2 linked regions of the Mytilus edulis genome follow. The protein of the gene in region 2 purifies or fractionates together with the protein of the main gene of each other region. This does not show direct contact. Links are inferred from orthologs where the notes say so. Each region holds a gene or a part of one and is shown on either strand. Other genes may lie near its edges.

Region 1 (7,135 bases), on a different chromosome or scaffold from region 2:
CGATGTAGATATTTGTACTCTTATTTTTAATATTTGTTGAATTAATAACTTAAAAATAATATTTAGGTAACATTTATAATGATACAAGATAAAGAGAAAAAAATCCTGGGGTGTTCAGTGGTGGAAAGACCTACCTTCTACATAGTATGTCCTTATTATCTACAAAGTTTCATGAAATTCTGTTGCATGGTTTCAGAGGAGTTGCGATGACAAACTGTTGCAGTAGTATATTGAAGCAAATAAATTCAAAGGGGCATAACTCCTAGAAAACAATTAATCGTAATTTCCTGTCGATATGCACATCTATATAGTATGTCCTTATTATCTAAAAAGATTTCATGAAATTCTGTTGAGTGGTTTCAGAAGAGTTGCGATGACAAACTGGTGTAGTATATTGAAGCAAATAAGTTCAAAGGGGTGTAACTCCTAGCAAAAAATTGAATCATAATTTCCTGTCAATATGCACATCTACTTATTATGTCCTTATGTAACATAAAATATTGTCCTCCATGATATATTGTCTGTCGGACAAATTTTCATATAAAATATTGTCCACTGACAGTATTTCATAATGAAATATTGTCTTGGACACAATATTTCATTATGAAATAGTGTCCTTATCCATGACATTTTGTCACCTCCTTCGGGACAATATTTCACTATGAAATTCTGTTCATGACAATACTTCACTATGAAATACTGGCTTTGAAAATATTTTTTAATCAAATTATTTCACAATTAGAAATAGTTCACATTGAGCATGCACATTTTTAGATTTATAACCGAAATTGTTTTGTATAGTAGAGAATTTATATGATTGTTAATAGTGAGTTTCAAATTTGCATAGATACATGTACATTACAAATGGTTAATTATAGATTAAAGTATTGTCTAACAAAAGTTTCATTTTATTACATTAAACTGTACAAATATAAGTTATGTACTGACAATCGCTTATTTTGTAAATATAAACACAGGTATGTGTCGCAGAAAAAAATCCTATTTACCTTCTCTAACATAAATATATGTTGATAACCTCCCTTTCATGAGACAAAATTTAATGACAATCTGTCTATGAAATATTGTCTCAATACTCATAAAATATAACCAAAATATATATAACCTCCCATTAACAGGACACAATTTCGTAGTATTTATCTATGAAATATTGTATTAATTCACACATTGATATTGATATGATGGGCTACGCTAATTACTAAATTTTACCTGGGGAAAAGATTATGACTTTGTTTACCACCCCAAGCTAATCAATGGTTACAACTGGTGTCATAATCTGTTGTTATAGGTAATCCGTTTATCGGATGGGTCATTAATGATCATCAAGATTAATTCGTTCAAATAGAATCGGTCAGTCGGCAATTATCTTTGAAGAAATGTGCATACAACAACTTGGGCACAATTTGCGATGTTTACCGTAGTTTCATGGAAGAAACGTAATGACAGAAAGTTGGAAAACCATTATAAACTCGTTGAAGACATTGTTTTACTTGTTTTCTGTAAAATAAACAGAAAATTCAGACGTATTTGTCATTGACTGCCTTCATTTTTGATACGAAAATATCAAAATCGGCCGCCATATTGTGATCATATTTACATCATATTTACGTACTGTTTATAATCCTCCAAAGAAGGAGCACACCCGAATAAAGAAAGATAACTCAATCTGATTTTTTTCCTAGCATTGAGTAACCCATTTACATATTCTAAAATGTGTCTCCATACTTCTTGCTTAAGAATATATATGTTTAGGTATTTATTTTGAGTTATGGGAAAAGTTAAAGAGGGTCTTAGCAGCAGTGTTGGTAGGGTGCCTTGGTCATCTTTTTCTGTATTCTTTATTTTTGATACTATTTTTCACTGTTGCTTTATATCCTTAAATTGTGAATTTACTGAGCACAGCTGTTTTGTGCTGTATTGCCATCAAGCACAGCAGGGGTAGAAAGGTGAAACTGGTCAAATGTGGTAGACCATAGAAACAGTATGAAACAGATCTCCTTTCAAAACATACTGCATATAAAGTTCAACTGTGCCAAGCAATGATAAAAAAAACTTGTGTGACAAGCTGCTTGACAAGTTTTTCAGCCTTAAAAGTAGAAAGATAGAGTTCTATATGGGCTAAAGATGTTGTTCTTGTATAACCTGTGATTCAACGAATAAACACAAATGTTTGATTAACATCTTTTATTAAAATATGCCCTTTTCATATTATGATATCGCGCGTTAAATGCCCTTTTTCAGGATTGGCACCCTGCCCTTTTGAAAACCTAGCTGGAACACTGGATTTCACTATGCAAATTTGTCCTTCTCTGGACATTTTTCCATAGACGAGGACAATATTTCATGATACATAGTTATGAAATATTGTCTTGTACAATATTTCATAGGACAATATTTTGCTTTACACTTACAAATGTATGACATGTATTATCTAAAAAGGTTTCAAGAAATTCTGAATTTCTGATGTGTGGTTTTAGAGGAGTTGCAATGACAAGAAACAGGACTGACAGACCGAGTCGGTGACTGACAGACAGACTGGTCAAAAACATTATACCCTTCACAACTTCGTTGCATGGAGTATGATTATCACAAGGACCTACGAACTGTAGTCTGTACCCTTGCAGATCTATAAAGAGGGTGTTCAGATAAATTCATTATTAATTGAGGGATCAACATACATTTGAATGCATTTTTAATGTTGCAAAAATCACGATCAAATACTAATACTCTTTCACAAATATTAAACACCTGCCTTATATTATCGATATATTTATATCAATACAGTTTCAATAACGACAAAAATGTGGACACACATTCATGCAATAACAAAATATTTGGTGCATGTCTGAGGATGTTTGATGCCAGACCTTTTGAAGATAACACTGAACATGTTTATTTACCCTCAGGAAGGCCTGTTATTTTACAACAAAGTTTCTGTAACAATAATGTCTCAGTTTCATTTGTGCCCCTCCTATCCATAGCACAAAAAGTGCCAGATATTGACCATTTGCAAGAGGATTGTTTTGCCGCGCTACGGGCAATGCGCATGAAATGTAAAGTTATTTTGTATTTTCGAATGAAAAGAAAGAAAAAGGAAAATTTTAATTTCACCAAATTTGTTTAAAATAATCTTTTTAAATGAGCAACGAATCATAGAAAATTGTGAGCAAAATAATGATACGAAACTATCCGAAAAAATTGTGAAGGGGTGGTCTCAAAATACAAAATGAACCGTATTCATATAAAGGAACATTTCTATATGTGAGTTCGTGGTCTAGTGGTTTTAAGACCGATGGCTACAGTGCTGAAGGTCCCGAGTTCGATTCTCACTCGGGGTGCTAAAAATATCAGTACATCAGAAGGGTAATTTTCACCCTCTCACACACATCTCTGGTACCCAGACCGGAGTTTAAACTAGAATGGGTACTTTGGGGGCCTCGGTTGGTCAAAGTTGTTCCCTACTTTGACCTGGAGATCAATCTTCTGATATCTCTCTGGTTTGTCTGTTTCCACCGAGCGGCCCGGTGGTTCTCTCCGAGTACTTCGGCTTCCTCCATCATAATAACAGACTTCCCGGTGTCCTACACGCTCCCTTGGGCGGTGTTGGGTGGGGATTGTTCTGGTGGGATAATATTGTAAAGGACACATCTCCATTAATCCTTAGGGAGTGTACATGGATCCGCTGTACCCTTGCAGTCAATCAAGGGGTGCGTCTTAATTGGCGGAATCTCAGTACATACATACATACATACATACATACATACATACATACATACATACATACATACATACATACATACATACATACATACATACATACATACATACATACATACATACATACATACATACATACATACATACATACATACATACATACATACATACATACATACATACATACATACATACATACATACATACATACATACATACATACATACATACATACATACATACATACATACATACATACATACATACATACATACATACATACATACATACATACATACATACATACATACATACATACATACATACATACATACATACATACATACATACATACATACATACATACATACATACTTTTTGTAGGTTGGGTGAGGTTTCGCGCTTTTAAAAACGTTTAAACCCGCTGAATTTGTTTGTATCTGTCCTAAATCCGATTGCAGGAATCTACATATTGTTCATTGGTAGTCGTTTGTTGATGTGGTACTTACTGTTTCTCGTTTCTTGCTTTTTATATAGATTAGATAGAGGGGGCAATATGGGATCCATTAACATGTTAACTTAGGCGCGGATCCAGGGGGAGGGGTCCGGTGGTTGGAATCCCTTTTTTTTGGACGATCAATGCATTTGATGGGGACATATAGTTGCTGGATCCGCCCCTGTAACAACACCTCGATTTTGAGAAAAACAGTTAACAACAAATGCAAAAGTGCCGATAACAGTTAACACAGTGGGTTGAAAACGCTTAACAGTTTAAATTTATCTCAGATAACAGTTTACAACACAGCCTTGAACAAGAATGTGTCCTCAGTACACGAATGCCCCACTCGCACTATCATTTTCCATGTTCAGTGGACCGTGAAATTGGGGTAAAAACTCTAATTTGGCATTAAAATTAGAAAGATCATATCATAGGGAACATGTGTACTAAGTTTGAAGTCGATTGGACTTCAACTTCATCAAAAACTACCTTGACCAAAAACTTTAACCTGGAGCGGGACAGACGGACGAACGGACGGACGGACGAACGGACGCACAGACCAGAAAACATAATGCCCCTCTACTATCGTAGGTGGGGCATAAAAAGACCAAAACTGGCCAAGTTAACATAAAAAGGAATTGCCCCCCCCCCCCCTTTTCCCCATTCGACCGTGGCCCGGGTTTTTTTTCAGATTGAATTGTTTTGGGAAATAGGTCAAAGAGACCAACAACCGGCCAAATATACACATGCTTCCAACACTCTGGTTTGTCTGTTTCTCAGGAGTTTTAAAAATGCTTTAACTTAGAATATATGCTTATCATTGAAAAAAACGTACTTCGCAAACGTGTCGACAGAAAAGAAATACACACTGTACGAAGGTTCAAGAGGAACATCCCAATAAAAAAAAAGATATCAACAATAGGGAACGAAAAGGGGTCTCTTGTAAAAAGTAAAGTATATGGTTTCACGTGTGAAACTGTAATTTAAATCAAGAAAAAGACAATGACAGTCGTTTCTGTGCATGCATGTGTAGTGTAGTTTTTGTGGTAAATAGTAAGTATATAATTTTTATTCAAAGCAGAAACAATACTTACTAGAAGCCTGTATAAAACGATATTTGACAGTTTTTGTTTTGTTTGTGCTGCCAATACATATTAGGGACCTGGTCTGAAACGTGCAAAAATTAAACGAAAATAAAATATATCAAGCAGTTTTTTTTTCTTTTCTCATTTGCATTGTTCCAGTTTCTTTACTTTTCTATGTAGTGTTTTGTGAACTAGTTTGTCTTTCGACGTCTTTCATTTGTTTTTGTTTATAATTCATATCAAAGTATTGTTAGCTGTTCTTAATTATCAATAAAATTTATTTTTTATGTAGCTCCTCGACGGTCTGAAATTTGTACACATTAAGGTCGTGTCCGGTCTTGATGTTAATATTGATTATATAATGTCACGTCCTCGAAGATGGGAATCACTTATAATTTCTGAGAATAACTTATTAACTGGTTCTAAAATAAAATACAGCTTGACGATGGTATCCGGTCGTGTTATGATACATAATAATTGCATGGGTATATAGTCTTATTTTCGTGGTTGGTTTCTCAGGACTTATCTAACCACCATTCAAATAATCTGATAAAAAGTGCGAGTAACTGAGGATGGTATGTTGTTACAGGTTTCAATAGCTCTTTGTGTGTATGAATATTTGTCTGATTTGAAGTCTTGAGTGTGTCTTGTACAAGTTATATATATTTGTGGTCTCTTGTTGTTGAATTTTCTCTAGTTCTAAAAATAATTGGATACGTCTCTTAATACTTACCGGTAAGGATAGAGCTCAATCATATTTCCTTTCATTTATTTGCTTATTTTGCTATTTTTTATTTTCTATTTTCTGATTTTCTGATTAACTGTAAATATCAATGTTCCGCGTGTCACCCCATTTTCCAAATTAAATGAAAATATCGCAAAAAAAAGTGAGAAACGATGACATGCGATTTCAGTTAAAATTGGTAATTTTATTGTTCGTAATTGCTGTTCATATGTCATTTGTGAAAAAAAATAGTTGTTGTATACTAGCTCTCTCCTTTTGGGCATTTTAGTTCGATTTTTTTTTTATGATAAAATGCTTATATATAGATATAGAAAGATGTGTTCGACTTCTTTTTTATAACCACATAGTATCCCCCCTTTTTTATAAGTTGTTACAATTCAGTATTTAGCCGCAGTTATCCACATATACTCTTTGTTGTTTTATAAGGTATTTTGTTTTTATAATACCGTTCGCGACCTTTTTCTGGAATCAGATTTCACATCTTGTCTGATGACTCACTTTCCTTTCAAACTTATTAAGATGATTCTTTGACATATCTAATAATGAGGGGAGGATGGTTTTGTTGCTTTAATTCTTCCATTTTCCCTATTTTCCTCTGTCATGTAATGGTATCTGGTAGGTTTTTTTGTGTTTTTTTTTGTGTGTACTCATTTCTGATATATCTGGTATGGTTAGGCCTACGGAAACTGGATGGATGGTTTTTAACTGTTATCCAAGATGTTCTCTTACGGGTTTTGCAATTAATAATTTTGAGTATAATTATTTAAAGGAATTGTATATTTAAATATGCAATTCCTGGATGGATACTGCATACTCGGTGTTTTGAAACGGTCCCTAAAGCAGACGTCTCTGTTCGTTCGGAAGTTCTCTAGATATTTCTACCTAATTGTACACGAAGTGAAAGCAAAACAGGACGTAACAAAAATATGTTGTTTACCTTTAGAAGTGGAAAGCCCAAAGTAGGCTAGAGGTGTATTTGAAATTTGGACAGTAAAGTTTTTACATGGGTGCGGGTGTTACGTGAAAGAATGAATGATTGCTTTGTAAGTATCACACTGTTTATATTTATGA
Region 2 (7,384 bases):
CCTAAAAGGTTCATCAGCTCACTGACGTGGTGATGAAGCTTGAATTCACTCATTTTCACTTCTTTTTCTTGCAAAAACTGAACTGCAAGATAAAAATAACACAATTAATTTCTCATCACTAAAGGCTGGCAACTATTAAAAACATGATAAAGTATGGTACATGTGTAAACAATTTTGCTCAATAAATTTTAGGGATTTTAGATTATTTTCTTACAACACTCTATATGGTTAATGAACAAAGATATGCAGTATTTTGGTTTTGCAAATAGGAAATAATAAAAATAACAAGTGAAACTGTGAGCTACTGCTCACTGATGATACCCCCACCGCAAGTGGATAATTTTAATAGTGTAAAAATATGCAAGTGTTCGGTAAACAGGAAGTTGTTGAGTGATGAATCTGAAAACGCATCAAACGGTATAGCTGAATTGTATAAATCGTGAACCAAATTTCAGAAATCCTTGTATTGTAGTTCCTGAGAAAAATGTGACGGAAATTTTCAACTTGGTTATCATGTGTAAAATGGTACAAGTGTTCGGTAAACAGGAAGTTGTTGAGTGATGAATCTGAAAACGCATCACACGGTATAGCATACTTATATAAACCTTGAAACAAATTTTCAGAAATCCTTGTATTGTAGTTCCTGAGAAAAATGTGACGGAAATTTTCAACTTGGTTATCATGTGTAAAATAATACATGTGTTCGGTAAACAGGAAGTTGTCGAGTGATGAATCTGAAAACGCATCACACGGTATAGCTGACTTGTATAAATCCTGAAACCAAATTTCAGAAATCCTTGTATTGTAGTTCCTGAGAAAAATGTGACGAAAATTTTCGACTTGGTTATCATGTGTAAAATAGTACAAGTGTTCGGTAAACAGGAAGTTGTTGAGTGATGAATCTGAAAATGCATCACACGGTATAGCATACTTATATAAACCTTGAAACAAAATTTCAGAAATCCTTATATTGTAGTTCCTGAGAAAAATGCGACGAAAAATATTCATGGGACAGACGGACTGACGGAAGGACAGACAGAGGTAAAACAGTATACCCCCCTTTTTTCAAAGCGGGGGTATAAAAATGCCACTGGGAAAAGAGGGTATGATAGACAGGCAAGGGAACTCATATCAGTGATAGGTTTGTTGCAAGCAAGTAGATCTTCTACAATTAATCTATGTTCAGTACATGCAATACAAATAAATTCATAGATTAAAAAGAACAATCCACTTCAGGATTCGTTGATTTAAATAAAAATGTTACACCACCGAACACCACCGCACACCACTGAACGCCGCCAAACACTCCAAAAACCACCAACCACTAAGAAAAACTGTGATACTATACAATAAAACAAATTAAATTACGTATAATTAAACAATTTTTAGAATTTTATTGGCATTATTTTATGTTAAAATCGATTACCAATATGAGAAGAAAAAAAACATCTCCAGATTCATAACTTTCCACATAACATTGTGTGTGTTATTAAACAGTCAGGGGACTTACTGAAATAAGTGATTTTTAAATCACTTATTTGAGTAGCAAATTCGAGGTTTTGTCACAAATTGGGATTTTGTAGTTTTTTCAAAATTTTAAACACATAGGTTTAAATAACATCTTTTAATTAGTAAAATTAAAAAATATGAACTTTTTGCTTCTTTTAAGTAGCAAGTTTTATGCCTTTGATGCTATCATTTACCTGAAAATTCTATTTTAGTTGAAAAAATGCTATAATAATGGCTTTACATAATGAACTGATACTTTCTTCAAAGATTTTTCACAGCAGTGGGAGTATTTTTCCTGTGAAGTTCAAGGTTTCATCTTTCAGATTATGTAATAAAATTCTACTGTTCGCGATAAAAATTTCACTGTTCGGGGGTGTTGAAATTAGTGGGGGTTATTAAAAGAATGATACTTAAAGAAGTGATTTTTGGGAAGGAAATTAAGGTCTGATACTTAAACAAGTGATTTTTATGTCATTATCCTAGATTCAGTACAAGGTCATCACCTGAAATGACCTGGTCATCCTAGACAACACAGATGTTGGTTCTGATAAGTTTAGAAACATAATTAGTCCCTGGATCATTAGTATTCTATATTTAAAGCTACACTAATATTAAATCACTTCTTCTAGTGATTTATTTGTACTACTTAAATAGGTGATTATTAAAGAAAGACAACTCTAACTTCCAACCTTTATGGAAATAATGTTACTTGAATCAGTGATTTAGAAAATCACTTGTTTAAGTAAGTCCCCTGACTGTTAAAATAATAAAATTCAAATATATTCATCATGTTCGTAATTAGTAATCAGTTGAAGTATCTTCGATCTCTGTTCTCGGTTAGATCATAAATGTAATACCGGTACATATACTCTTATTGTTGGTACAACTATTTTATAGAAGAGATAGACGAAGAAAAAAATGGAAAAACAAATATTTGAGGTGTCCATAGGGGTCTGCGGAGTTCAAAAAGTGGGGTGTTATAGACTCTCCCTTTCTGTTTTCTATAGATATTTGGACTCTTAATCTTCTGATTTGCTGAATTAATAACTTGAAAGTTATAATAAAGTCACATTTATAACGTTAAAAGACAAAATAATAAACTTTTGGGATTTTCGGTGGTGTTCGGCGGTGTGTGGTGGTGTTTGGTGGTGATACAGCACGTAATAGTCAAAGTTGTGACTGAGTGCGGAAATATGAAGATATCTATATAGAAGAGAACTACCGATATGGGTGCACAACGGTGCGACTACGACCTTTAAAGTATCTACCATGGGGGAAGCAGGAAAGGGGTCATTTGGAGACATGAATGATACAGATTCCTTCAATAAAAAGTTTGTATATAAATTTATTACAATAAATAAACAAAAACAAAGTCAGAAAGATAAAGAAAAACCAGAGGTTCATGTCTAAGTGCCTTTGATTTCCACATAATTTCACGACGTTTACATGTATCAAATCTATAGTTTTTCAAATTGTGTCATTAAATTCTTACAAAGCTCTATCTAAGTTACAAATTTAAAGAAATCGTGTTTTGGTTTGACATTTCTTTTCTTCCCGCGTAGTGTCTTCCATCTTGGATCTCGTTGTATGAATCATGTGACATTTTTTACCTGCACATTTTCCTTGATTTTGTAAGGTTTATATTGTTACCCATGTTTAACATGAATTCCAACAGATTAAAATGATGTGAAAATACTATTCTTTATATTTTTAAATGGTAAGTAATGGGAAAAGAAGCAAATGAAAGAAACGAGACTTTGCGAAGTTATGCGATACTACGTAGTCACTGTAAACAAAAATGGACGAACAAGAACATGTTCCATTTGTGAGCTAAAATGTAATTTTAACACAGCATATCTCACATATTTGTACACTGTAGTTGTATCTCTTTAACAGACACATATAATTCATGTTCATTAAAAAAAGAAAGACAAATTGCTAGTAGTAGTACCGACACTGCAGTCTTCTGCTAGAAATTTGAATTAGAAAAAAAATAATTAAAAAAATATGATCAACAACAAACAGATTTGGAAGCTGAAAGGTACTTTCAGTGTTGGTTTGTGGTCTACTACTTACGACTGATTGCTACATTGCGAAAGGTCATGGGTGTGATTCTTGTTAGATTTTTAAGTGTGATTCCAAATTGTTTGGTTTCTTCCATTTATTATTAATGAATTTATTTATTTTATTTAACATGTTTAATATGATATACTTGCATTTTGTAGATATTATTTTTGAGTATTTGCGGATATGTAACTTTGCGCTCATATAAATTGTAATATTTCACTTTTTAAAGTTTTATAATGTTTTGCCTTTGATGTATATGTTACGTTGTAGTAGAGTATTTATTCATTGCAAGTTATTTATTACTACATTAAAACTGTTAGATGGAGTGCATTTTACATTTACCTGTAGTGCAGACTAGTGTAGCTCTTAGTCTTACATGTAGGTCTTTTTGACAATTTGCAGAGCATGAGAATTACGATTCCGGACTAGGTGATATTAAGTTGACCCCCCAATAGGCAAGGGTACAAGTCAAAATCGGCACCAGGTCAAATCGGCACCTGGTTAAATCGGCACCTATTTAAAGTCAATTAGGCATTCACTAATATATAGAAATAACATGAATAAAATTCAACCCTTAAAAATGTGAATAAACATGATAAAATTAGGTTAATATTTCTGGCCAACCCCTACCTTATCTACCTCTTCTTGGGTAAATACTGTAAAATTTCTGGACAACCCATTCCTTATTTTTACTGTTTTTGCTTAAAATACTGTTAAAAATATATATTAAACAAATCTAAGGTTCCGAATTGACTATATCAATGCCAATTTAACCAGGTGCCAATTTGACTATACTGGGTGCCGAATTGACCAGGTGCCGATTTAACCAAGTGCCGATTTTACTAGAATTCAATAGGCAATACACTAGTTCATGGATAATGTAAGGTACACTATTCCGGGCAAAGACGACCCACTCATATTAACTTGGGCTCACAAGGAAAGTTTTCTCCCTAGGCTGATATGATGCTACTGTACCGTGAGCCTCAAAATATTTTTGATGATCCAGCAGCCCTTTGTATACTAGTACTATAGTCAGAAAACTAGCTTAACAATTGACTGGATCACAACATCAATGATACTTTTTTTACATTTACAGCTTATCATGATCAAATTCGTGTGAAATACTGGAAAACGATAAATTTTTGTGAGGAATTTATTTTTCAAATTTTATGAGGAGTAATTGCATTGCATTTTTCAATGGCATAACAAACCAAGACACTATGAAATCAAACCACATGTCAGCATGCTTTACTGTGTGTTTCATTTACAAAATCATCACTCATTAACATCCTTTTTACCAATAAATATAGTGTGGTATCATGCTCTTAGCTCACTGTTCAACTTGTTGTTTGCTAGTCTACCTACGTCCTACAAATGTACATGTATTGCTTGATATGTTAATCAGTTCCTCTAAATCATTGCTCTAAATTATTTTGATTTACATACATTATTTTTTGCAGGAAAGAACTCAAGAAGCATATATAACAATGAACTGGTCAAGACTATAACCTATTCATTTTGAGAGAGGAAAAGCCAACCAATCACCATGCAGGTTGAAAGATATCGCCCTATACTGTATCTGCAGTATTTCTTGTTGCTTATAGATATTGTTATGAACTCATTTATAGAAATGCTGAGATTTGAGAATGTCATCTTGCTAGTTTTGTTTGTGTAAGTTTATGAAAGGAAACAGGATTATTAGAGAGAAATTGCAGAGAGGGAGTATTTTAGAAATTTTTGAAAATCAATATGTTTCAAGAATATTCATTTTTCTGTATTGATTTATATTCATATAATATTCATATTATAAGAATTATAAGAACAAGATTTTTATTATTCTTATATCCAAACAATAGGGTGGTAACTAAATAAACAAACAAACAAACATATAAATAACAAAACATTAGACAGAAAACAATACAAACATGTTGCATTGATAAAAGATAAAAATTATTAGTATTTATGATAATGCTATTTTCTCATGCCTCCTCTATAAAATTTTCATTTTCAAATATCTTGATTATATATTACATTATTATACCTTACATATATTTTAAACAATTCTATAGTATTGGGTGAAACATTATCATGTGACATGGAATAATTCAGTTATTTTTCATTCAATCGCAAGAAGGACTATTTAATCACCTTTTGAGTTTCTTGATTTGTACTTGAATTATCTCCCATGAAAATGATTACACAGACGTAAATAAACAAAATGGCAGAGTTCACGTTACACTGGAATCCCACAGACAGACGAGGAAATAAAGCATTGGACATGAATAGATTGCCAGCACCTAACGATCGCCTTTTTAGGACCATCAATATTTACAAAAAGATTCTACATTTGTTGTATAAATTCTAGAACACAAATATATTTTCAAACGTCAGCTTGTTGAAAGGCCTTTCCACTGCTAGTTCGGGATAATACAACAATTGTGGCCCCTTAGAATCGATGAATATCCAAAATTGTCAACCCTTAAAAGATATTTCACTTCGGGCTGTGCCCTCATTGAAATAACCTTTCGAGTTGACAATTTTGGATATATATATTCACCTTTTTAACAGGCCATAATTGTCTATTATAATGTTAGTCAAGAATTATACAACATGTACACAGGTCAGATAAAGTAAGGCTCAAAATCCCTCTCAGAATTGCTGTTTTTTCAACAACAAAAATTGGGAGAGGGGTCATTTTCTTTTATGTCCCGTTTGTCCTGTCTGTCCATTCAGACACATTCTTCTGTTTTGGGTGAATTTGTTGAATTGACATACATGTTGACCCTTTGATCATAAAGGTACAAATAAATTGTAGTCATCAGTAATGAAACATTCCAAAAGTACACAGTTGTATTTAAAATCATATGTTTACAGAGATAAATAAAAAGACAAATGTATAAGTATAAAAGATGTCAAACATGTTTAAGAAAATATTGAATTTAGAGTCTTAGTAGTTTTATTTTATTTTTCAGAATACAGGATGTTTGTATTATATTTGCTGTGATAGTAGTTTTTCTGTTGTTTTTCAACACATACATCTTCCAAGCAGGATTAGTAAACATACTCATAAATAAATTCAAAGTAGGAATTATGGTGACATTTGCCTACTTTGGATTGAATGTTGGACTCCATGTCTGGGAAATGGTACGCTATGAAGAATACTTTGATTATAGAATATGTTCCAAATGTTTTAAATCAAAATTAAACAAAACTGGAAATAAAAAATAAGAAACAAAAAAAATATTTCAGATTTTATTTTGAAAGAAAAATTTGCAGATTTTTCAATTATAATTGCATTTATTTCTTATTTAATAGAAATGGAGAGATTTTAAACCACAGACTTTAAAAAGATATACAAGATACAGTTGGGAATTTTTAACCAGATTTTTGTGACAAAAATGTCGGTTATTGAATTGGGGATGTACGCCTTTGTACGGTGGGCAGGCGGGCGACAATCAAATGTTGTCCATGCATAAACTCATGAACCGTTCAACCAAAGCTTTTAAAATTTTAATATGTTGTTACTGACAACTAAATGAAGGTCAAGTTCAATAATGGCGATTTTGACTTTTACCGTTCAGGAGTTATGGTTCTTGAAAGATTGAAAAATGGAGTTTCCAGTCGTGTCCGTGCATTTACGCATGAACTGTTCTACCAAAGCTTCCCAAATTTTAATATGTTGTTACTGATGTCAAATTGGAGGTCAAGTTCAATAATGGCGATTTTGACTTTTACCGTTCAGGAGTTATGGTTCTTGAAAGATTGAAAAATGAAGTTTCCAGTCGTGTCCGTGCATTTACACATGAAC

What was found. The genes of interacting proteins can lie anywhere in the genome.
Region 1: the proteins of gamma-tubulin complex component 2-like (region 2) and gamma-tubulin complex component 3 homolog fractionate together in Drosophila melanogaster (co-fractionation; 3 studies listed by BioGRID). This does not show direct contact. The link is inferred for Mytilus edulis from reciprocal best matches to the Drosophila melanogaster genes Grip84 and Grip91.

The regions. Positions count from the first base shown.
Region 1 is NC_092346.1:89,142,772-89,149,906, reverse strand, and holds the start of gamma-tubulin complex component 3 homolog, read right to left. Parts: upstream 3,074-7,135; 5' UTR 3,067-3,073; coding exon 2,919-3,066; intron 1-2,918. Other genes in the region: phospholipid-transporting ATPase IF-like, read left to right, coding at 7,093-7,107.
Region 2 is NC_092353.1:16,591,234-16,598,617, reverse strand, and holds the start of gamma-tubulin complex component 2-like, read right to left. Parts: upstream 3,102-7,384; 5' UTR 3,002-3,101; intron 83-3,001; 5' UTR 54-82; coding exon 1-53. Other genes in the region: transmembrane protein 138-like, read left to right, coding at 5,123-5,247, 6,549-6,720.